Linked DNA regions of Astyanax mexicanus. The main gene of each other region encodes a partner of the protein of the gene in region 3 in a complex. Links are inferred from orthologs where the notes say so. Each region holds a gene or a part of one and is shown on either strand. Other genes may lie near its edges.

Region 1 (7,890 bases), on a different chromosome or scaffold from region 3:
TTTCTCCCCAATTTACAAGACCAATTATCCAACCCACTCATTAGGACTCCCCCTACTACTACCACTAGTGATGCCCCAACACCAGAACTCCAACTGCTGCTGATGCAATATTGCCGAGTAGCATCACTGCGCGCTCGGAGGACAGCGCAGCGACTCGGTTCCGATACATCAGCTCACAGACGCTTTGTGCTGATCGACATCATTCATTGAAATTATGTGGGGAAAGAGCACCATCTACCCACCCAGAGAGAGCAAGGCCAATTGACAACCAATCATAGTGGGAGCACTTTAGACCACTGGACAATTTGGAGCCCTATAATGTGTTAAAATATTTTTAGTTCAATTCATTTTTGTTGTTTACCCAATATTCTTCCCAATTTTGCAACCATTGCTACCACTGCATCCTTACTATGCAACCAAATTGCTCAGAGGAAAGTGCAGATTCCCAGCTATGATACAGTGGGGCATCCAACAGATGCCTGATGAGCAAAGAGAGTTCATTTTAGCATGTTCTCCTCCACCAGTCTTACACACTGCTTTTGGATAACTTTATGCTGCTTTACTCCTGGTGCAAAAGTTCAAGCAGTTCAGCTTGGTTTGAGAGCTTGTGACCATCCATATTCCTCTTGATTATATTCCTGTAGTAATTTGGTAAAATCAAAGAAACTTTTATTTTTCCAGAGATCTATATATTATTAGTTAGTGCAAGATGCCAATTACATCTTAGAAAATATGAAATTAAATATGCAGTGTTATCAGGAAACACAGTTGACAAATATTCTACAGCATTCCTAGCTTAATAGTGTAGTAAGTAAATCCAAGGACATAGCAAAGCACCTTTTATTGTGGAGAAAAGGTATTTTTAAAAGGAATGCCGGCTCTTACACATACAAAGAAAGATTTGCAGAACATCAAAAGGTTGTTAAAACGTCTCCAGAGAAAAACATAATTTCATTATGTAAATTGTTTGTATCCTATAAAAGTCTGAAATGGAAATAAGCTGCTAGATTTAAAAAATAGCCAGTGCTACTAGCTAAAAAAAAAAGTAAGCGCACAGTCCTGATATGTCACTGAGACACCAGCCATCAGGGATAATCAGGGCACAGTCTATTAGCTGCCACTTCTAGGGATGGAAATGCCAGATATGTGGCACAATCTCATTTGAATGACTCACTGGTTTGTTGATCCAGAGGATGTCAGCACTGTCGGTGAGCGTTTCATCAGGCCCAAAATCCGTCATGGGCTGCGCCTCGACGCGCGAGCTCTGCTTCCTCTTCAGCATGCTGGGACTAGCCGTGCTATAAAGGGAGTGAATCTGAAAGACACAGCCACACACAGTACCAAAACTGACTCCAAACGCAGTTAGCACTGGGCTACGATGTTCCTAGCCGCTTGTGTTAAAAGCTAATGTCGCAATTAATGCTAATAGCTGCTGTCCATGCACTACTAAACTATGGCATTAAAAGCTCTACAATGGACTATAATAATAATCCAGTAATAAACAGTACCAATCAAAAGCCTGTACACACCTTCTCATTCAATGTTTAAATTATTTTCTTTTTTTTTTACTACACTGTAAGTTAATAATGCTGAAGTCATCCACACATAAGAAATCATGTAGTAAATTAAAAGTGTTTCTGAGACTGGTAACTCTGATGAACTTATCCTGTGCAACAGAGGAAACTCTTGCTCTTTCTTTCCTGGGGCAGTCCTAATGAGAGCCAGTTTCATCATTACGTTTTTGATGGTCTTTGCAACAGCACTTGAGGATACTTTCAAAGTTTTTGAAATTGTTTGGATTGACCGACCTTCATTTCTTAAAGTATTTTTTTTTCTTTATTTAGTTGAGTAGTTCTTCTCATAATCTGGATTAGAACATTACTCAAATAGGGTTATTCACTGTATACCAACTCTACCTTTTCACAACTTTACTTTAACTGATGATCTCAAACACATTAAGAGGCAAGAAATTCAAGTAATTAACTCTTGACGAGTTCAGCACAGCTGTTAACTGAAAGCCTGAATTCCAGGTGACTCTACCTCATAAAGCTGACTGAGGAAGCTGTCATCTAAGCAAGCAAGAGGTGCTACTTTGAAGAATCTAAAATTTAAAACAAATTCTGGTTTGTTTAACACATTTTTTTAAATTAGTGTCATATTTTTCTTAATAGATTGGATGACATTAGTATTAATCAATTTAAGGCATGTCCAAACTTTTGACTGGTACTGTATGACAAGCAAGCGTATAGCAAGCTCAAAGTTTAGCACTATTTCTATAAGTATTTTATACAGTTTTGCTACAAAAGGAGAAGGAAGAGTCTAATACAGGTATGCCTACACTGACATGCAGAACGAACAGAACAAAGGTCAAAGTCTCAAATCTGAGATATCTCTCCACGGGAGCTGCGCATTACAACATAAGAACACGTCTCCGCACCAGACAGTATGCATTGTATTGTTGCATGGCATAGGTGGAGCACAATCAAGCGCATGGAAACACACAGAACACGGTTCACTTCACACCAATATATATACTGACTTACCTGCTGCAAAGATCATGCTCGATCTTCAGCAATATAAACACACCTACAGGCAGTCAATACCGAGTTTCGCTTAAAACTACGAAGTAAAGGCCATTCTCACAGTGGACAATAATATACATGGATATCACACACTAACTGAAACAAAGCGCACATACCAACGGGAAAAGTAAAGCTGAAATTGCTCCAGCACTGCACATAACATGCGATCAGGCATACCCTGTAAATAACACACAACAGTTAGTCAACATGGCATATATGGTGTACCAACGTGTACAGTACGATTATATCAACAGATAATGTCCACCACAATCAGACAAGGCATATATGCGACATGGGGTGTTCTGGACAGATGGGGTTGCTGGGTCATGTGACTCACGGTCAGGCTCCTCATTGGTGCATTCATCCCCAGAACACAGAGGGGTGGAAACCAGTACGAAAGATAAATGGGCAGCAGAGCTGTGACTTTTCTTGTGCGGCTGTAGGAAAGAAAATGAAGCAAGAAAGAAAAACTCAAATTAGGATTTATTTTTTGTTCTAAAGAAAATATATAGACCTTTCTAATTATAACATAAGCAGGGGGCCTACAGTGGACAGAGCATTGGAGGGTAATAATTGTTATCAGCAGCATGTGGACCCATATGCTCTCATATTCATATATCACAAGTCAATGCAGTGTTCTTTATCATACATGGTTTATGGCAAAAGTCATGGGATACTAGTTTATTTGGCATGTTACAATATATGAACAATATATGAACAAAACAAAGCCTCTTCACATTTAAAACATTCATCTAGCACTGCTGAAAACCTCTCAAAGCTCACATTAAGCTGTGCTCCCAACTAGGGGTGGGCGATTTGGTCCTAAAATAATATCACGATATTGCATGGTATTTCTGCGATAACAATATAGTTGACGATATGACAAAACACTGAAAACATTAAAAAATGTCAAGAATACTGTAATGCCAATGTCAAAACCTCCCAAAGCTCCCGTTAAGCTGTATATAATATAACACACACCAACTATCTAACTATGTCTTTAGAAACTGTATATTCAGTAGGCTTCACTATACATGTGTGACGTTTATACACATTTGTGACATGTTTACATAACATTGTTATGTTAAATATGCTTCCCATATAAACATCTGATTTAACAAAGGCCTTATGCCAACCACAGAAACACAGGAACAGCCAGGGGTCTCTAATAACCTGACAAACCACCAATAGCACACACTTGAAAAATAAAGATGTACCCTCACTCAGGCCTTTGTTTTTATCTTAAGCTACTTAAGTGAGAACTTTTCCATCAAGTGAGAACAACTTACTCAAAAAGCTCTATATTGTCAAAAGCAATCTGCAAAATAGGCCTTAATTGCTACACTTAGCATATGTTGGTAAGGATTTATGGATGAGTGAAAACAAAATTACAGGGTGGGTGTGCTGTAATGTGGGAGTAGGTTGGAGAGAACTGCAATTAGTTTCACTTCTGGAGAAAGGACCTTCTCGCCAGAGGCAGGATGCAATCACTGGGCATATTAATGATAGCTGTGGGTGCCCCCTAGTATCACAAAGTAGTATGAAACTGTTTTAAATATGTAAAGAGTATCATCCAGGGTTATTTGCACAGTAAAGATGTAATCAGAATGTTATAACAATGTGGTTTAAAGCAAACTAAAAGCATTTTGTGACAAATTATTTGAAAGGCTTTAACTGAAAAGTCAAATTATTGCAAAAATTGTGTAGCCTGTAGTAGTTCTGAATAATAACCAGGAGGGTAAAGATTAGCACATGCCTCCTCCGATACTGCTGCTGATGTAGCATTACTGCGCAGCCAGCATGCTCGGAGGACAGCGCACAGACTTGGTTCTGATACATCAGCTCACAGACACCTTGTGCTGATCGACATCACCCTTTGGAGTGATGTGGGGAGAGAGAGCGCCATCAACCCACCAGAGAGAGCAAAGCCCTCTGTGCTCTTTCAGGGCTCTGGCAGCTGATGGCAAGCTACATGAACAGTTAAAAAGAGAAATTTATATAATTTATATTTATTTATATTATCAGTTATCTGTCCAGTATCAGTTATTTATTTTACAATTTATATTACTTTATTCCTGGATGTATGGAGATATTTGGAGTGCATTATTAGTATCATGACATTCTGGATTATTGACTTCTGATACAAATATGTAGTGTGTTCTTGAAATATAATGCCAAGAGTATCGTTATTACGAAAATACCATGAAACATTGAAATATTATTTTAGGGCCACATCCCCCACCCCTACTGGAGAGCTATAGCTACTGCGGAAACAGGAACTGAATTATGAATGTAAAAATGTGATGGGCACATAATGCATACTGGAAAGCTATAGCTAAAGTTATAGCTAAGCTATAACAAACAGGTTAAGTGTTACTAGGTGTAATGGGTATATAAGAAGAGGCGTGTGGGTTTCCTATTTCAGACTAGAGCAGCAACAGCCCCTCAGCATAATATACATAATCTGTATTGGAGGAAAACGTACACCTAGATCATCAGTATAACAGTATGGACCACCTTCATTGACTAACAGTGGACTTTAAATTGGAGGAACACGTGACTATAGCTAGCTAACATTAATTTCACACATTATAGGCCATGCCTGTCCTCTATAGTCTTGATTGTCTTGATTTTATATTAAAAAAAGCTATAAAACTACTCAGAGTAGATAATTCTAGCAAAAGTAGGAAAATGTGTTTGTATACCAAAAGTGTATATGTACATGGAGACCCCATCCCCCCTCCTCCCTCCCTCTTTCCCTGAGCCAACACACACACACACACACACAGAAACACACACTCTGAGCCGGTTGCCATGGTAACAGATGAGAGCAGGGCTGCCACTGGCTCAGGAAAAAAAAGGATAAATCGTCTTATTATTAAAGATACATACAAACAAAACACATTTACACGCTTAAAAACTGCCTGTCTTCGTTTTCAGCACCTACACGTTGTTAAAACGTCGCTTCTTTCGTTCTAAATACGCGTTTATTTTACCCAAGGCCTTTAGCTATAGCCTGTGTAGCACTTCCTGCTAAAGCTAATGCTAACGCTAACATCTACAGGTAAACAGCCCAGTCAAATCCCTCTATACGGCCCTCACAGCGAAACCACGGGTCCACAGGGCTAAACATCACCTCACAGCGCCGCGCCGCTCACCTGTGGGTCGGTCTGCGCGCCTCACTGGTCCGCTGGGTCCATGTTTCCCGCTGAACGCCGGTTATGATGGAGCTCCGGTTACAGAAGCAGCGGCGGCGGAGGGGCTACTGCAGCAGCGGCAGCGTCGGGCACGCGCCCTGTCCTCAGCAGCAGCAGCAGCACGAGACACACACAGGCCCTCCAGCACCAGATACAATCAATGCACACAGCCAGGACTACAACTATAACACACACACACACACACGTTCATTCAGGTATAAATCTAATATTTATGGAGGATTTAGGAAGAAACACCTGTTAAACTCTTTGAACCTATAGGTCATTATAGAATAATTAACTCTCTGTGGCATAGATTATATTTTTAGTAAGGAAATAAATCACAACACTTATTGGGGAGTTTGTTTTTCCTATGGGACATTTTTTTTTACTTTTTACTTTGATAACAAGTAGTAAAATAATCGGATGATTATTTATTTCGATTAGTCGATTAGTCAACGTTTTTTCCTGCCACCTCCTCCAGCTCTAAAAACAATAGAAACAGCTGAACATGAGATTTACAAGGTATTTAAATGTCTAGATGTTGATTAAATGTGGTAAGTACTGAGATTTAGTGAGTGAATGTGTAATTTGTTGTAAATGTTTGGGCACTTTTGGAGACACAGACTAAGTTGAGTGCAAACTGTGTGAGTGACTTTTTCTAGATCATCCTTTTTTTTTAAATATCATTTGATTGGCTAAATTGAATGATATTTATATCAGTGACGGCATTCACTTAAAAAAATCAAATTCAATCATGCATTATTGTAGTTCCCTGTATTATTGTGAGAGGGCAGTAATAATAGTGTAGTGTGTTTTAGGCCAGGTGTAAACTGGATCATGAGATCACAATTTCGTTCCACCCATGGAACATTTTTTACTTTTTATTACTATGTAATAAAACCACATATGGCTCTGTATCCAAATCAAAGGCAACAAATGCATCCTAACATTCCTAATATGTGGACAGATTCCACCTTTACCTAGTTATATCCACTCATACAAGAGCAGCCTTCCATCTGTTTGAATGAGCAAATACCCAAATACTTTAAACCAAGGGTTTTAACAATTTTAACAATATATATTAAATCACTGATATAGTCCGACAAAAATGCCATTAACAGCTAGTAACTTTTGGCATCATGATGTACAATGATGCAAAAGCAAATGTGATTAATCCATCTTGTTATAGCTTCTGCGCTTACTCAGATCTCCTCATCCAGGGGTGCTTTCCCCAATATCAGGCTGACCCTCCTCATTTCACAGCGTGAGCAGCTAGCTGATTGGCTGTTCATGTTTAAGGGTAAAACGAAAAAAATCTGTAAAACGAATAAAACATTTATCCTGCATGCTTTTGACAGGAAACACTTGTGCTGCATTCAGAATTGCTTCCTACTGCAGAAATAATGCACTATATGATGCGTCAGCCAATTTCTATTGCTTTTAGAAGTCTTAAAAATACACGATTATATTAAACACCTATAATGCATCACAAAATGTAGTGTTTAGACAATGTACACTAGAATTTCCAATGTATACCATAATGCAATGTGGGGGTGGTGTGCCAGACGTACTCAAAGGGGCACAAATTAAAATTGTTTGTTGTTTGGTAGTTTCCTAGTCAGTTCACTATAAATCAAATGCTATATTATAGTACATGCTTATGCTAAATGGCAAGAGTTTTCTACTACTATATATAATATAATTAATTTACATTGTATACTTAGTATATGTTCCTATATATGTGTTACATTGCTATTGTACATTGTAGGTCTATATGCATTGAAATAATAATTATAAAATTGATGGAAGGAACTAAAATATTAATTCACATAAAATGTTTATTTAATATGCTTTATGAGCGTATGCTAGCTAAATCACAAAGTACACACTGTACACTACGAAAAAAAATGTGTATTATTAGATCATCTTTATTAACAACTGTTTTGAATTATGTCTTTCACTAGTGGCTGAGTTTTTTTTACTTTTTTTTTTAGCAGCTCCCTCTCTGTCCCGCTCCTTGCTTTGCAGCAGGAGTCAGAACTAATCAAAGGCACTTGCCTGTAGAGCGCTATTGGCCTCAGAAGAGTTGGAGCCGGTTTTGGCCAGCCCGC
Region 2 (6,934 bases), on a different chromosome or scaffold from region 3:
ATAAAAGCAAGATGGCAGCTTTGTCTTTTTCCATATTTTAATATATATATTTAATATATTTCCTTTACAGAGAAAACTCCCAGATCAAGAGGTTGCTCAAGGATCTTACATTGCACTGCCTCTGACTCTGTTGTTGTTACTGGCAGTGTATAACCATGAAAAGGTATGTTTTTTTTTTTTTCTTTTTCAGCATCCGTGTTGTTCTCTACACTGACATGCCAAAATCAGTGAGTCTTTGCTATCGTAACCACAGGAAAAGTGCACCTTGCATGGCTTGAAATGAGCAAAAGACATGAACTGATTCTCTTCATTAATTATGGGTGTGTTTTAAAAGCGTAACATAAAATACACTAATCAGCAAACCTTTCAGTAACAGGAGTGAGTATTGTTCACTAGTTTATTTGTTTATTAATGTGAATATTAGTTCATGTAAACCACTTTTTTTCCCAATTCTGTTTCGTTCATTGTTTATCCATTTGTTAAATAAATTGCATGATAGTAAATTTGATCGTTTTGGGTCAGGGTGAGTCTTCTTAAAAAGATTTTTTTTTTTAATTGGATATTTGGAAAAAATACAGTGTGCATGCATATATAGTGATTTTTTGTTATAAATATAAATTATTTGAACATGCAGTCAACCATTTCTTTAAAATCAAAGGAATTAGTGCACTTGCTTTTAAAGACACCTTTTAATGTCACATTAGGTTTGTAAACATCTTCTGATTAGAAACCTTGTAAAAAAAAAAAAAGTAAAAAAGTAAAGCTGCCTGAGATTGACCAGTACATATTTTAAATAGTTAATATACGTTAAATATGTGTTAGATTCAGAGTTAGATTTAGAGAGATTTAAAAAATAAGTTTAATTTGGAAGCATTAGAACAAGCAAATGACACCTATTCGGTGGAATGGCTCATTCATAGATAATGTAGTTAAATACTACAATACATCACCATCAGCTATAAGGTAAAAAGTGTTCTATGGGTGATTATGGGCTGTGATAGTAACAGCACATGTTTCATTCGCTTCAGGTGATCCCGCTGTTCCTGCAGCTGCTGAGCCGCATCCAGGGGGTCAGAGGACTTTCCCAGACCAGCGGTGAGGGTCTAACTACGGATGAAGCCAAGAGACCATCCAAGAGACCTAAGACGAGACGCACATAATCCTCCAGGGACAAAATCAGAGCTTCAGACACTACAAACAACTTTCTTTTCTGGCCGAAACGCAAGACTTGAGTTTCTCAGCCCTGCAGTTTTACATCTCTGTGAAGTCTCTGTGTTTAAGAGCCTCACTGATGAGTCTCGGGACTTTTAACAGCTGGTGCTTTATCGAGGTTTAGAAAAGAGCTGCAGTCAAATAGTTTCAGGCTTAGAAGAGCATTAGAAGTGGCTGTTTGTTTGAAGTATTTTTATTTCTTGGCGTCTTCTTGGAGAGTTCTGTTCGAAACCCTGGTGTGTGTGTTTGTGTGTGAATGTGGCTCTGAAACTGCGTGTTTGTGAATGTGGTTACTCAGGGAGGAGAGTGGATCTGAACTAATGCGTGAGGATGTGTGTATGACTGTGTGTGTGTGTGTGTGTGTGTGTGTGTGTGTGTGTGTGTGTGTGTGTGTGTGTGTGTGTGTGTGTGTGTGTGTGTGTGTGTGTGTGTGTGTGTGTGTGTGTGTGTGTGTGTGATTAAATTTGATAGTTTCTATCATAACAAGACACTGACCCAAGTAGTTAATTAAATATGATGATGATGATAATGATTATGATGATGATGAAGATGACGACACTTGTTTGTATTAATGAAATATTTATTAACAACAGTGAAATCGATTTTCCCATTTTTTTTTCTAATTCCTAAACTAAAGCCAATCATTTTTGAGCATTTGGATCATAGTTAATATTTTTAGGTTAGTGTTATAATATTGTGCTACTGACCATCCAACCAGATTGCAACCAACATTTGCAACCAATACATTTTAAATCATGATTAATAACATCCAAAGTCCAAATAGGTGATTGTGACAACATGCATTAAAAAGGTGGTATAATATTTTTTTTGCATGGTCATTATGAGTAGTTTTGAGTTTGGAGCAATTTGACCATTAAATATGTTTTGTTATTTTTTTTATATAATAAAATTATGTCCCATCAAGCTAGAAACTTCCTACAAGCAGCTCTGAATATTTGTGACTTTTTTATTTTATTATTTAATTTGTCTCCAGTGTGTTAATGAATTTGGTGCGTCTCGAGTCCATGACCTGTATCACAAGTTCGGGACGTAACTCTCAGTGAAATTCTCAGTGAAAACAAAGAAATAAAATAAAATTATTTGGGAGAAAAAAATGTGTGTTGACCCTATTTGCATGTTGGTGTATTGTATATCCTGTGAGAAAATGTATGTACTGTGTTTTATTTATGCATAATGTTAATTTAGATAAAGTGTTCTATGTATAACTTAATTATTGTTGGACCACAGAGGCCCAAATCTACATTATTCTCAGTATTCTGCACATTTTATGTAAACACTTCCCTTGGTTTACCTTACTTTTGGTTTGCCCGTGTGTATATATATATATATATATATATATTAAGGCTATATTGGCAAAAATATTGATCAACCATTAACATCAACCACTGTCTTAAAGAGTTAAAGACTAAATACTTTAAAAGATTTAGATTAAAACCCGCTTTAAGTAGCTGCTGATATCTAGCTTTCTTACATAGGCTGTATTTATTGCATTCAGTAAATTACTGACATTAAAATGTTAGATTGTTTGAATTTACCATTCCACCTTAAACGGTTCTCATTTTCTATTCAACCTTAAATGCTGCACATTTACTGTTCCGCCCTAAATGCTGCTCATTTACTTTTCCATCTTAAATGCTGGTCATTTTTTATACAACCTTCAATGCTGCTTATGTACCATTCCACCTTAAATGTTGCCCATTTACCATTTACTGATGCGCAACATATGCACACTCTCTCTACTGCTGTCTGTCTTTTGAAATAAATGTATTTTATGATTGAATAGTCCAGGCATTCTTTAAATTTAATTTGTTTTTAATTACCTCTGATCATTATTTACATTTTTACTTTAATATTTTATGAATAAAATATTTGTGATATATATAAATGCAATACATTTACACTCATGCCTCAAAAATGACCCATTCATTCAAAGTGTGATATAAAATAAACTATTTTAATACTGTAATAATTAGTTTCAGGTAGTTTTTTTTTTAGCAGGGAGTGCGGCCCAATTATTTTTTTTATTTGCCGCAGGTTTGTCACTTTTTCACACACAGCATTTTAAAAATAATTATAAGTATTATTAGCTAGCTACTTGTTGACATATTCTAAAAACTATTTTTATTTACCTGTGTGAGCTGTGAAATGGTAACTGCATGTGGGTCGTGTCTGATCTGTGTGTGAACTTGTAGAAATAGAAAAGAAAGAAGGGCAAGTAAAAATGAAGGTTTGTGCAAAACAAAAACAAGATATTCACTGAGAACTTAAAAAAATGAGTAGAAAATGATTAATGATTCATTTATTTCAAAGATACAGTTTAGAAACACTCCACAAGCTATACTTGTTCATTTATTGGGTAGTGATGCAAAAATGTTTTTTATTTAAAAAGTTAGAAAGGGAGAAAAATAAATAGTAATAATATATATGAATTAAAAAGTGTGATGATATTCTATTTTATTTTAGCACATATACATGGTGATAAAAAAACAAGGTAATTGAGGAATTCCTTGAATACTGAATGTTTTTAATAATTTAATGCAAAGATACATCAAATTAAAAGTCAGAACGTCGGTCGCTTTTGAACCATGATGCGCATCAAAGGGTTAATAGAATCAAAGGCTGTAGAGGGGAAGGGGGGATGTGTGGAATCAGTGCTGGTGTTACTGCGCCTTTAAAAGAGAGAGAGAGAGAGAGAGAGAGAGAGAGAATATGGCATCATTCAGATCTGCGGCCGCTCTTATAATAAAATAATAAATATTCCTGCTCTACTGGAGCTGTTCACTAAATACACCTGCAGAAATCACCACCCGGAGCGGATCCTTGCGGTTCCTCGACATGTAGCGCTGTCGAGAGAAAACCCTGAGAAAAACAGGAGAAAACCCGTGATAACGGGCTCTGATCTCCGGCGAGAAGATGGTGAAGAGGAAGAGCCTGGACGACAGCGAGCAGGAGAACAGCCGGGGGATACCGTTCCCCATCCAGACCTTCCTCTGGAGACAGACCAGGTGAGCAGAACCTGTCAAACCCTGGTGTTTAATATTTACCTGTAAAAATATAACCCGTGGTTATGTATGAACTGCCTGTGCGGCTCAGCAGCTGTTTATAAATAGGCCTGTGTGCCACAGTATGTTGTTGCTGGTAAAGCTAGTAAAATATATTACCTTCTTCTGGCTGTAATTTGAATTGAATTGGCTCAAATGTTGGGTTTTAGCTCCCTTACACCAAACTAAAATGTAAATATTGTGTATATAAAAATAGAATAAATGTAAATATATATGAATATATCATAATGATAAATGCTGTGCTGTTGCTGTTGCAGTGCGTTTTTGAGGCCGAAGCTGGGGAAGCAGTATGAAGCCTCCTGTGTGGTGAGTAACAGCAGTAACAGCAGTAACAGTGATGATCAGTGGTGATCAGTGGTGATCAGGGGGATTTTTCCCCTCACCCATCCCTAATCTCCTCTCCTCACACCTGAGGCTTCTGGCTCTGCCACATCACCCACTCTCCATTATTGTGCTCAGCCTCTACTTACTAACACTAACTCAGTTTAGTCTATTTCAATATATTAAAAAAGAAAGAAAAAAAAATATATATATATAAAGTCATTTGGTTGGATCGCCTTTAGCTCTGATTTCAGTGTTGTGCTGAATTCAGCACCCCCGCCAGGAAAAGCACCCCCTCTTGGGAGCACGCACCCACGTCTTCTTGGCTTCTTAACTTTACTTAGAAAATGGAAATACCCAAGATACTGTTCTAAGCTACGCTGACTCGTAAGAAATAAGGAAAAAGAAACGTCACCTGCAGCCTCGGCCGAGAGGGGGTGCTTTTCCTGGCGGGGTGCTGAATTTGGCAACATACTAGTGTCTAAATCTGCACCCCCGCCATGAAAAGCACCCCCTCTCGGCAGCGTGTACACAACGTCTTCTTAATAAAAGGGAAGATAATTGATGGTAGATGATGGTAGAGTCTGACCGCTGCACAAAACCTTATCCAGCACATCCCAAAGATTCTCAATGAGGTTAAGGTCTGGACTCTGTGGTGAACTCTCTCAATCCATGTGTGAAAATTATGATCTCATGCTCCCTGAACCCTGAACTCTTTCACAATTCCAGACCCATCAATTCTGGCATTGTCATTTAGGAATAAGCCCTTGCCATCAGGGAGGAATAAATCCATTGATTGAATAACCTGTTTATTAGGGGTGGGCCCTAAAAAATAACAGGATATTTCATGGTGTTTTTGCAATAACGATACTCTTGGCGATATGACAAAACACTGAATTAAAAGAAATATTTCAAGAATACACTACTGAAAAAAATAGGGTCATATGACGTATTCTGTGTAATCTGCCCCCAGTCTTTTGAGCGGGTTTTGGTGGAGAATAAACTCCATGGACTCTCTCCAGCTCTTACTGAGGCCATCCAGAGCATCTCACGCTGGGAGCTGGTTCAGGCAGCACTCCCACACGTCCTCCACTGCACCTCCATCCTCCTCTCCAACCGCAACAAGCTAGGTAACCTCACCAGAAAAGTCTGTGTTTTATAGTCCATAGCTTATGACTATTGGAAACATTTTCATTTGAAACACAGGTATGGGTACGTGTTGTTATCTCAGTTTAAAAGTTTGATAATTTGCCTAATAGTTATTTAGAAAAAGCTGCATATAATTTTTTTGTTTTATTTGTAATCTGTTCAGAACAGAAAATCTGAATGGAAAAGATTAAATCTGAAATGGTTCCCTACTTCCAGCACAGAGCTTTAAATAAATCATGGAACTATCTCAATGATTTACAATAGCGTTAAATGTTAAATCTGAGTTCATACGACCAGTGGTTGAATATAAATGGCTCTCTGTTAGACATTCAGAGCACAGTTGGGCTCAAATATAACTTGCGTAAAAACAAAAAGCAGTTAATAAAGTGATAAAGCTTGATTGCAGTTGTTACCGCCAAGTTATTTATTTAGATTTTAATACATTTTTGGCTTTTTTGGCAAATAAAATCAGCTTTTTTTGTGTAAATATGACCCAAAAAACAAAAAACTAAATAAATCTGTAAGGGCTGAATACTTTTTTCACAGCAGTGTATGTGATAATTGATTTCCACAGTCGTCTCCTTTGCTTTGAAACTGAACTTTGACCTTTTAGCTTATTCCCTGGCAGGACACCAGGACAAGCTTGGTGTAGCCGAAACTAAGCTGCTCCACACTCTGCACTGGATGCTGCTGGAAGCTGCTCAGGAGTGCCACCAGGACCTCGGGCATGGCTGGTCTGGAGGGGGTAGCAGTGGCAGCAGTGCTTTCCTCCAGCCCCTGGGGAACCAGGGAAACGTTGAACGCAACGGCAGCACACCTGAGGAGAACGAGTACGCCCGGGCCAAGCTTTACCACAAGAACATGGCCACTGTGGAGCTTTTTGTCTTTCTGTTCGCCCCTCTCATAAACCGCATCAAGGTTGGTTCTGTTTTTCTAGAGTACCAGTTAAAGGTTTGGGCACACCCCTTGTCAATCAATGTGTTTTAATTATACTTATACTTATAATGTAGTCATTAATGAAAGACTAAGAGCAAATGAACCCAAATATTTTATAGGGCTAAACCATGTGGCTAGTACTCAGGTGATCTACTTCCTGGAAGTGTCATGTGCTGTATCAGAGGAAGATTAACACACTATATGAACTTAAATAAATAATTAGAAGATAGAAA
Region 3 (7,661 bases):
TGACCTCTGGCTTCCTCTTGAGGGACACAAAACACAGCTGTTTGTCACTACTTGCTGTGGCATTTCGAGGTGGATTTCTATGCTTAGAATAAATATAACATGATTTTTAAAATAAACAGAAAACCATTTAGTCCAGGACTAAGCTTAACCCAGTGTCTGTCCTGTAATGTACTATTATAATAATACAGTAGTTTATACAGTAGTTGTTCAGTACAGTAGTTGTTATACAGTAGTAGTTCAGATGAATGGGTATCAGGTTTCAGTTCTTTAACCTCTTAAATCCCCATGTGAATTACACAGTAACACAGTATACTGTCGTAAATTAAAAGGGTAAATACATCTGGACCTGCTTTTTTCAGGGGGTAAAAATTCCAGTGGGACAAATAGAATCAGACACTTCTTTTGATAAATGTGAATAACTTGGGATACAACGTGAGATTCCTGTGATGTGTCAGCCCATGTCAAACTCAAACTGAAAACACAGTAAGAGAAGAGAATGTGAGAAAATCTAATTGTAGCCGTTCTCTTGAGACTGGGGAAGCAGTGGATAGTTTTGGGTCATTACCACGGCTTGGGGGTCCTCCCTGTTGGTAGGATAAACTGTTTTGTACAGTCATAACAGGACATACCATTTCAAGACGTCTTTAATGGTGCACACACTTATACACTGGATACTTCGTTTGGATTAAAGAATTTGGATTAAAATGCTTTTAGGCCTGAGAGGATGGGTGAGAGCTCTGGCACGAGCAAAGCTACCCCAACAAGATCACAGGTCAAACATCCATTGCAAACCACCTAAGGACAATATTGGACCCGGGGTAAATATCCTCTCATCATAAATTTAGATATCAATTGTGATATTATTTTTTTTCTTTGCTTTATACAATAAATAACATACACAATAAGGATTTGAATATTATATAAAGGTTACAGAAGTTTCAGTAGGAACAAAAAATGTCCATAGTGTAATAAGCAATTGGACTATTTTTTTCACCTGATAAATTAGTTATTTCAAGTATGATTTGTGTTAAATGAAACCTTTTGTGCCATTCCTTTACAGTGTACATTCTAAACAAAAATAGAATAGTTTAAAACTTCAGAATTTAATGCCAAAAAAATGCTTCTACTGACAACGTATCTTGAAGATGGGAAAAAGTCTTGCAAAGCTACAAGCACTTTGGAGAGATAAAGAAGAACAGGCTGCTCTTCTGGGAGTTCTTGTAAATGCATAAATAGGTCAGAGAAGTTAAATATCATGCCATTTTAATGTGTTCAGTTCTCATAAAACAGACCAAATTAAATGACTACAGATCATTCAGAAAAACAAAACAATGCACGAGCAAAATGCATGACGAATATACATTTCAGAAAAAATTGGGAGAAAACTTGGGTTTAAAACTTCTGAATGGCAGAGTACAGTAAGTTGTGTACAGCTGTGCTCTAGCTTTTTTTGTCTTCAGTATGCCTGATTTACTAATCAAGCATCTTTCTAACTGGTACCTGTAGCATGCACTATATAACAGTAACAGACTGTTTTCTATGAATGTGAGTTTTCTAAAAATGTGATGCACTGAATTTATGTAAGTCGCTATAAGGTACTGAAAAAATAAGCATTTTATGCAACATTTATTTTGATGTTTAAAATATGTATAATGTTAAACAAGTCACAACATTTTGTGCATCTATACAATTTTGGCTTTTAATTCACTTTTAATATATGTGGTACTAAGTCAGAGTAATCAAAGCTGGATTTTGGGAGGAGGAACATGCTGGAATCCCCTTCTCTTTCCAATCTAACCTCCCATCCAACCCATCTCTTCCTTTCTTGTAAATGATTAAGTCTTTTGCAACTCACCCATATCATCGCCTCCTATACACTTAAGCTAGGTCCTGAAATAATCATTCTTACAAAGTACTTTATTATGCTGTTAAAAAAAACATTTTCCTGTTGGCAGGTCATCAATCAGCATCTGTGTATATCCATTAGTATATCTGAAGCATTTCAGTTCCAATATAGGCAGCCAATAAGAAGTCATATTAAAGAATGTGATGTAGTGTGTAACTTTAAAATGTGCCATTCAGTCCATTCAGTGGACATATGAACACTAAACTGAAAAACAACTTTTTAAATCCAATTTTTTCATGATATCTTAACCATATCATTTAAGTATAGCTACTTAACCACTTACATCATTTTAGCCCCACCCATTTAATTCACAGCAGTTTAGCCCCACCCATTTACTCTGAGTTTAAACTGCTTAAACCTGGAATGTTTTTGAATAAAGCTACACTCAGAATACAGGTCATTTATATAGTATACAGTACAAAGCAGTGTTAACAGTATTGTGTGTTTACATCTGAGTGATAAACAAAGACTTTTCAAAAATTAAACATGACTGTTTTTGAATTATAAACCCATTAAACAGAAGATTTTCTTTAGTTGAAACATTTCACTGTTGCAACATGGCTCTCAAAACAATTTCTACACATTTTACTTGTTTTAATTTATTTTTTCCATGTCAAATGATCATATTCCACAGAATCTTGTGTGATAATGAGGTTGCAGAAAGGTGGTATATAACCCCATTATATCCAGTGTTGAATTAACACCTACACCAGCTGGTCAGTAATGCAAACTAGAGGTGTTCATTTAACACTGGGGACTTGAATGGTGTGCATTCATGCCAAAACATGCTTCATAAAGCTCTACACAACAATGAAGTGTTTTAATTTCTTTCTAATCTTTATTATGTCTCCACAGCAAACAGTGTTTACCATGTCCGTCTTTGCACTTGCTCTTCTGGTCCCGGCGGGTTGGATCATGCACCATATTCCAGTTTACAAGCAAAGACCACCTCCTGAAGTCTGACCTCATGGCTTGTCTTCAACACTTCTCCTGAAATATATACCATACAGTATACAACAGTTATTGTTGACTTTAATAAATAATGTTAATAGTACAGAATACTGACTGGTGTTTTCCTCTGTGAAAAGAGATGATTATTATCGGTTACATTAGTAGTACTACCGGTACATAACGGGTTTGGTGCCAGAATACATAAAAATGGTTTACTGATGAGTAGTGAGGTTTACAAACACAAGACATGACAGTATTGTTTGGTTAATGCTCCATTATCACTCGTTTTTAATTGGCATGACCATTATTATTGATAGTGTAATGTGATGTATTGGTTTAAAAACTAGAATATAAAAAATATATCTTGAAGATGGGAGATAATCTTCCAAAGCTACAAGCCTTTTGGAGAGATAAAGAAGAACAGGCTGCTCTTATTGGATTTCTGGTAAATGCACAAATCCATTAGAAAAGATAAATATAATGCCATTTTAATGTTATAAATGAACTGTAATATCAGCTCTCATAAACAAGCCAAATAAACTGACTACACATTTAGAAAAAACATATATAGATAATATATATATATATATTATCTAAAGAACCATTGGACCATCTTTTGCCGACATAGCATCTCAAAATAATGAGATAATAATGAGTATTTCAACATAGCAAATTCTTATCTCAAAATAACGACTTAGTATCTCAAAATAAAGACATAGTATCTCAAAATGACAACGTTGTATCTCAAAATAACAACTTAGCATCTCAAAATAATGCCTTAATATCTCAAAATAATGACTTAGTATCTCAAAACAACGACCTAGTATCCCAAAATAATGAGAGTTCTCCAAATAACAAATTAGTATCTCAAAATAACGACGTAGTATCTCAGAATAACGACTTAGTATCTCAAAATAATGGGAGTTTCTCAAATAATGAATTGGTATCTTAAAGTAACGACTTAGTGTGTCAAAATAATGACTTAGTAACTCAAAATAATGTCTTGGTGTCGCAAAATAAAGATAATGACACGTTAAATAAAGATTCGCATTAAATTATGAGAAAATATGAGCTGGATTTTATTTTATTTTAGTATGCAGGTGTGTGTGTGTGTGTGTGTGTGTGTGTGAGTGTGTGTGTGTGTGTGTGTGTTTGAAAGTGTACGTGTGTGGGCTTCCTCGCGGTTTGTGTGGGCGTGGCCTGCACGCGCTCTGCCCCTGCGCGCGTTGGTCCTTTAAGGAGTATTAAGAAGCTAATATGTCGCTACATTCTCTGAGAAGATTAAAAAAGCCCCAAAATCCCGTCCTTAGAACCAACTGTTGCTCGTCTAACTCCTACAGCAGCCCTACAATAGGCTACACCTTACATACAGGTTACAACACCACCTCCAGAGCCGGCCAGGCACCTGTTTACAGAGATGTTACAGAGAAAGCCCTGCAGGCGGGCTGACTGACTGATAAATAGATAGCCTGGGCTAATAGCCTGTGCTGTTTGGTGTCAGGAAATTAATATCGCGAATGGCAACTGTTCGACACGGAACAGTCCATTATATTCGCTGGAAAGGTGAGCAGGGAGATTAGCCTACCTTTTGTTCTGGGTGGGTTTAAGGTTTCTGGCTGGTTTAGGACAGAATATAGAGGGGCTGTGGGTGTTTATGTCTTTATGTGAGGAGAAACGAGGAGGGGAAATGGGCTGATGTGTGAGAGAGCGAAGGACAGAGAGAGAGAGAGAGAGGGAGAGAGTGGTACAACCTGAACTCTGGAGCTGGTGGAGGTGGAGGTGGTGGTGCTGGGGGGAGGAGGGTGCAGGAGGAGGAGGAGGGGGCTGTTGGCTGTTCACTTTTTTTCCCCCAACACTGAGAGGAGGAACAGTGTGTAGACAGCGCAGGGTTAAAGAACAAACACCGCCGTTTTGGGCTTTTTTTGTGCGTCCAGTTTTTCAACATGTCTACGAAGGCAGAGCAGTGTAAGTATCCTCGGCTGCCTTTCCATTTATCTCTGTGTCTCTGTGGCTGGTGGTCAGTGTGTGTATATCAGTGTGTGTTATATATATATTTTGAGAATGGGGCTGATGCTGCTGCTGTTGCTGCTGTGGATGTAAATGTGGGTAGCTGCCCTTGGTGATGAGGAGAGAAAGAGAGAATGTGTGTGAGAGAGAGAGAAACAGGGGGGAGAGAGACATTGCTATAAGGCGAAGGAGCTGCAACACGTCCTCCTGCTGCAGGAGACGAAGCTAAAGCTCTGGGTTTAATTCAGACTGAGAACAGATTCAGAAAGAAAAGCTGGTACTGTGGATGTGGTCATGCTCTCGTGCTCATGCTCTCACGCTGCTCTCGTGCTCATGCTCACTCATCCTCAGGTGATGTTGACTGACATTAGGGATTTCTGATTTTTTTTCTGCCTAAAACAGAAGCAAAACGCCCCTTTTCTCAAGGTCGAGCTGCTGCTTCTCCCCATTTATCAGGATGCTGATCATTAGCTAAGCCCCTCACCTCAGCCCTCGTGTAGGTTTCCAGCAGGGAGAAAGAGAGTGTGTGTGTGTGTGTTAAATTAGACTGTAGGTTTTCCTGTTACTGTGAACAGGTGAGTCACTGCTGAGCACCAGCACAACTACAGAGTAGCTCAGTTATTACAAGCACAGCAGATAACGTTATATGCAGACTGTTCAGATAGTATTAAATACATGGTACAAGGCTGGGAGGAACCCACCACCTCATCTATGAACCACTCCTCCACCCCATCCATCCCCTATCTCTATCTCTGCCTCCTGCTTTTTCACTATATCTATATAAATGTCTTCTTTATCTCCTTCATTGTCTCACCTTTTCTCATCCCCCAGACTATAGAAGGGTGTAAGATGCATTGCAATTTTGTTACTAAAGCTGTATAGACTTTTCAAAAACACAGTAACGTTTTTTTAAGTTAACTGTTTATACATTCTTTCACTCAGAATTTATAAATATGAGTGTGATTTTATTACATGACAGTTTTTTTCTAAAATCGGATTTGCGATTGCAATATATCACCTTACTTACAGTATCGCAATTTATCTCAATATATTTAGTCATAACTCTTGTGTCATAAAAACATGTCATATTACCAATACAGAACCATAGCATATACACACACAATAACAACAATAACATTAACACCACTGACAGATCATGTAAGAAAACAAAAAAAACAACAACAGTAATCTTAAATGACAGTGGCAACTATCATAAAATTGGGCATTGTTAAGTGTATGGCAAATTAATGTAAGTATATGTAAAAACATATGTTCTTATATGTACAAATATACCTTAACTTATTTATCTATAATTAAATGACTAAATAAGTGTAGTGAATAAAGATAATAAGATGAAAAAAATTATAGTGGCAACCACTTTCAGGTATAGCTTAAGCTTGCCATGAGCATGGTGAACAGTGTTCAGTCTCACTTACAACATAACATCTAACAACCTATACTGGTGTGGCTGTTCCCAAGACGTCCCTGAAGTAACATTTTATGATCAATTTATAAATTTTAGTGTTATACCATGCATTTTACCATGTCAGTGTGTAGAAATACAGTATATACTTAAATATACATAATTACATAATTATTAGTTAAAAAAACTTTAACTCACTCTACTTCTCTTTTTTTGTTTTTCCTCTGCATCATATTCATATTTCTGTATATTCATATTCATATTTTCCTCTGCAATTCATATTTCTGTCTTTTGTCCCCTCCATTGTCTTTTTCTCAGTCAAACTCTCAGTCTTCAGTTTTTCCCCATTATGCTGTATATCTTTTGTATTATTGTTTACAACCTCTCTTTTTCACTTTCTCTTTCCTTGGTGGGTTAGCCTGTTTTAGTCAAGTTTGGACAGACTAGAGTTAATACTGTACCTCTAACAGTGTGACTCACTGAAAGCATGGAATAACAATGGCTGTCCGTAGGGCTACAGCTGACCTGACCAGATACTAAAGGTCATCTAATAAAATACTTACAGTACTGCATGAGCACAGCTTCAGTACAGGCCTTACCACTATGGATTGATTTATGTTGGTACAGAAGGGTTAAAATATGCATTTACTGTGATTTGCTTTAAAATTGTAGAGCATTTTAAAGATTTCTTTATTGCAGTGGTGATAGGAACCAGGTGTCTCAATAAATGTTTACAACACAAATACAGATGTTTTGTAGTTGTCAAATTTACTAGGGATGTTAGTGAATTACACATGTAAATTCTGCTAATGCCAATGCTGATACTAATATACACAATTATACATTTTAGAGAGACGAAACACCACAATATATCTTTAAAAGCAAACTTAAAATTTTTGCCTTACATTTTAGCTTTCATACAACTGTATCCGAACAATGAAATAAAAAGTTTCTCCTGAGAATGTGTTCACAATTTGAGCTTAAATCATGAGTTTTAAAGTTGCAGGGCCAGTGTAAGCCAATTATTGTAGCACAACCAGCGTCATTAGTCATTTTCCAGCATACAATAAAAATGTCAACAAATATCGCTTAGAAATATCAGTAGAATCAGCCAATGCTGATGGTTCTAAAAAAAAAGAAGCAATTATCGGCCAATACTAACATAATTTTGATATTATTGTACTACTTTACTTTGGGACAAGCTGCTAGAGTTGTTTAGTTGGTTCAGAATTTTTCTCCTCCGGAGACTGGACGGGACTAAAACACATGACTACACACAGGTCTGGGGTAGGACTGTCCTATGAAGAATCCTTCTCAGTAGCCTGTTAAGCACACTAAAAAGGCTTTGTGGTGACATCACATGCAAAATGGCAC

Evidence for each region.
Region 1: the proteins of protein unc-79 homolog (region 3) and nalcn are in contact, whole or in part, in a cryo-EM structure (PDB 7SX3), measured with the Homo sapiens proteins. The link is inferred for Astyanax mexicanus from reciprocal best matches to the Homo sapiens genes UNC79 and NALCN. Residues at the interface, in NP_001333147.1 of Homo sapiens: Cys861, Gln862, Ile865, Glu968, Pro969, Asp970, Phe1020, Gln1022, Pro2088, Asp2089, Ala2092, Pro2093, Leu2095, Leu2096, Met2099, Leu2139, Pro2141, Asn2142, Gly2143, Ile2144, Gln2147, Leu2148, Ser2151; in NP_001337678.1 of Homo sapiens: Gln349, Met350, Phe351, His352, Glu353, Gly358, Trp359, Gln360, Leu361, Phe712, Ser713, Ile714, Arg717.
Region 2: the proteins of protein unc-79 homolog (region 3) and protein unc-80 homolog are in contact, whole or in part, in a cryo-EM structure (PDB 7W7G), measured with the Mus musculus proteins. The link is inferred for Astyanax mexicanus from reciprocal best matches to the Homo sapiens genes UNC79 and UNC80. Residues at the interface, in XP_030102533.1 of Mus musculus: Thr120, Tyr123, Ser127, Ala130, Thr131, Leu168, Ser169, Ser172, Met175, Ile176, Gln179, Tyr180, Tyr207, Tyr211, Gly212, Pro213, Ser214, Val390, Cys391, Glu394, Glu402, Phe405, Arg472, Cys541, Asp917, Phe920, Ser965, Glu966, Phe967, Ser968; in NP_780719.2 of Mus musculus: Gln23, Thr24, Trp27, Ser31, Leu34, Arg35, Pro36, Ala80, Pro83, His84, His87, Ser94, Asn95, Asn180, Ala183, Leu187, Phe190, Leu191, Arg337, Leu340, Gln341, Pro342, His343, Arg1317, Asp1320, Glu1321, Asp1324, His1545, Val1546, Asp1547.

What each region holds. Positions count from the first base shown.
Region 1 is NC_064418.1:3,881,726-3,889,615, reverse strand, and holds the start of nalcn (sodium leak channel non-selective protein), read right to left. Parts: upstream 3,020-7,890; 5' UTR 2,947-3,019; coding exon of another isoform or gene 2,920-2,946; intron 2,761-2,919; 5' UTR 2,741-2,760; coding exon 2,699-2,740; intron 1,316-2,698; coding exon 1,175-1,315; intron 1-1,174. UniProt on the Homo sapiens protein: Voltage-gated ion channel responsible for the resting Na(+) permeability that controls neuronal excitability. NALCN channel functions as a multi-protein complex, which consists at least of NALCN, NALF1, UNC79 and UNC80.
Region 2 is NC_064412.1:56,682,839-56,689,772, forward strand, and holds the start of protein unc-80 homolog, read left to right. Parts: upstream 1-3,915; 5' UTR 3,916-4,146; coding exon 4,147-4,238; intron 4,239-4,552; coding exon 4,553-4,601; intron 4,602-5,589; coding exon 5,590-5,746; intron 5,747-6,378; coding exon 6,379-6,683; intron 6,684-6,934. Other genes in the region: nomo (nodal modulator 1), read left to right, coding at 71-163, 1,029-1,160. UniProt on the Homo sapiens protein: Auxiliary subunit of the NALCN sodium channel complex, a voltage-gated ion channel responsible for the resting Na(+) permeability that controls neuronal excitability.
Region 3 is NC_064421.1:14,334,093-14,341,753, forward strand, and holds the start of protein unc-79 homolog, read left to right. Parts: upstream 1-4,656; 5' UTR 4,657-4,800; coding exon 4,801-4,822; intron 4,823-7,661. UniProt on the Homo sapiens protein: Auxiliary subunit of the NALCN sodium channel complex, a voltage-gated ion channel responsible for the resting Na(+) permeability that controls neuronal excitability.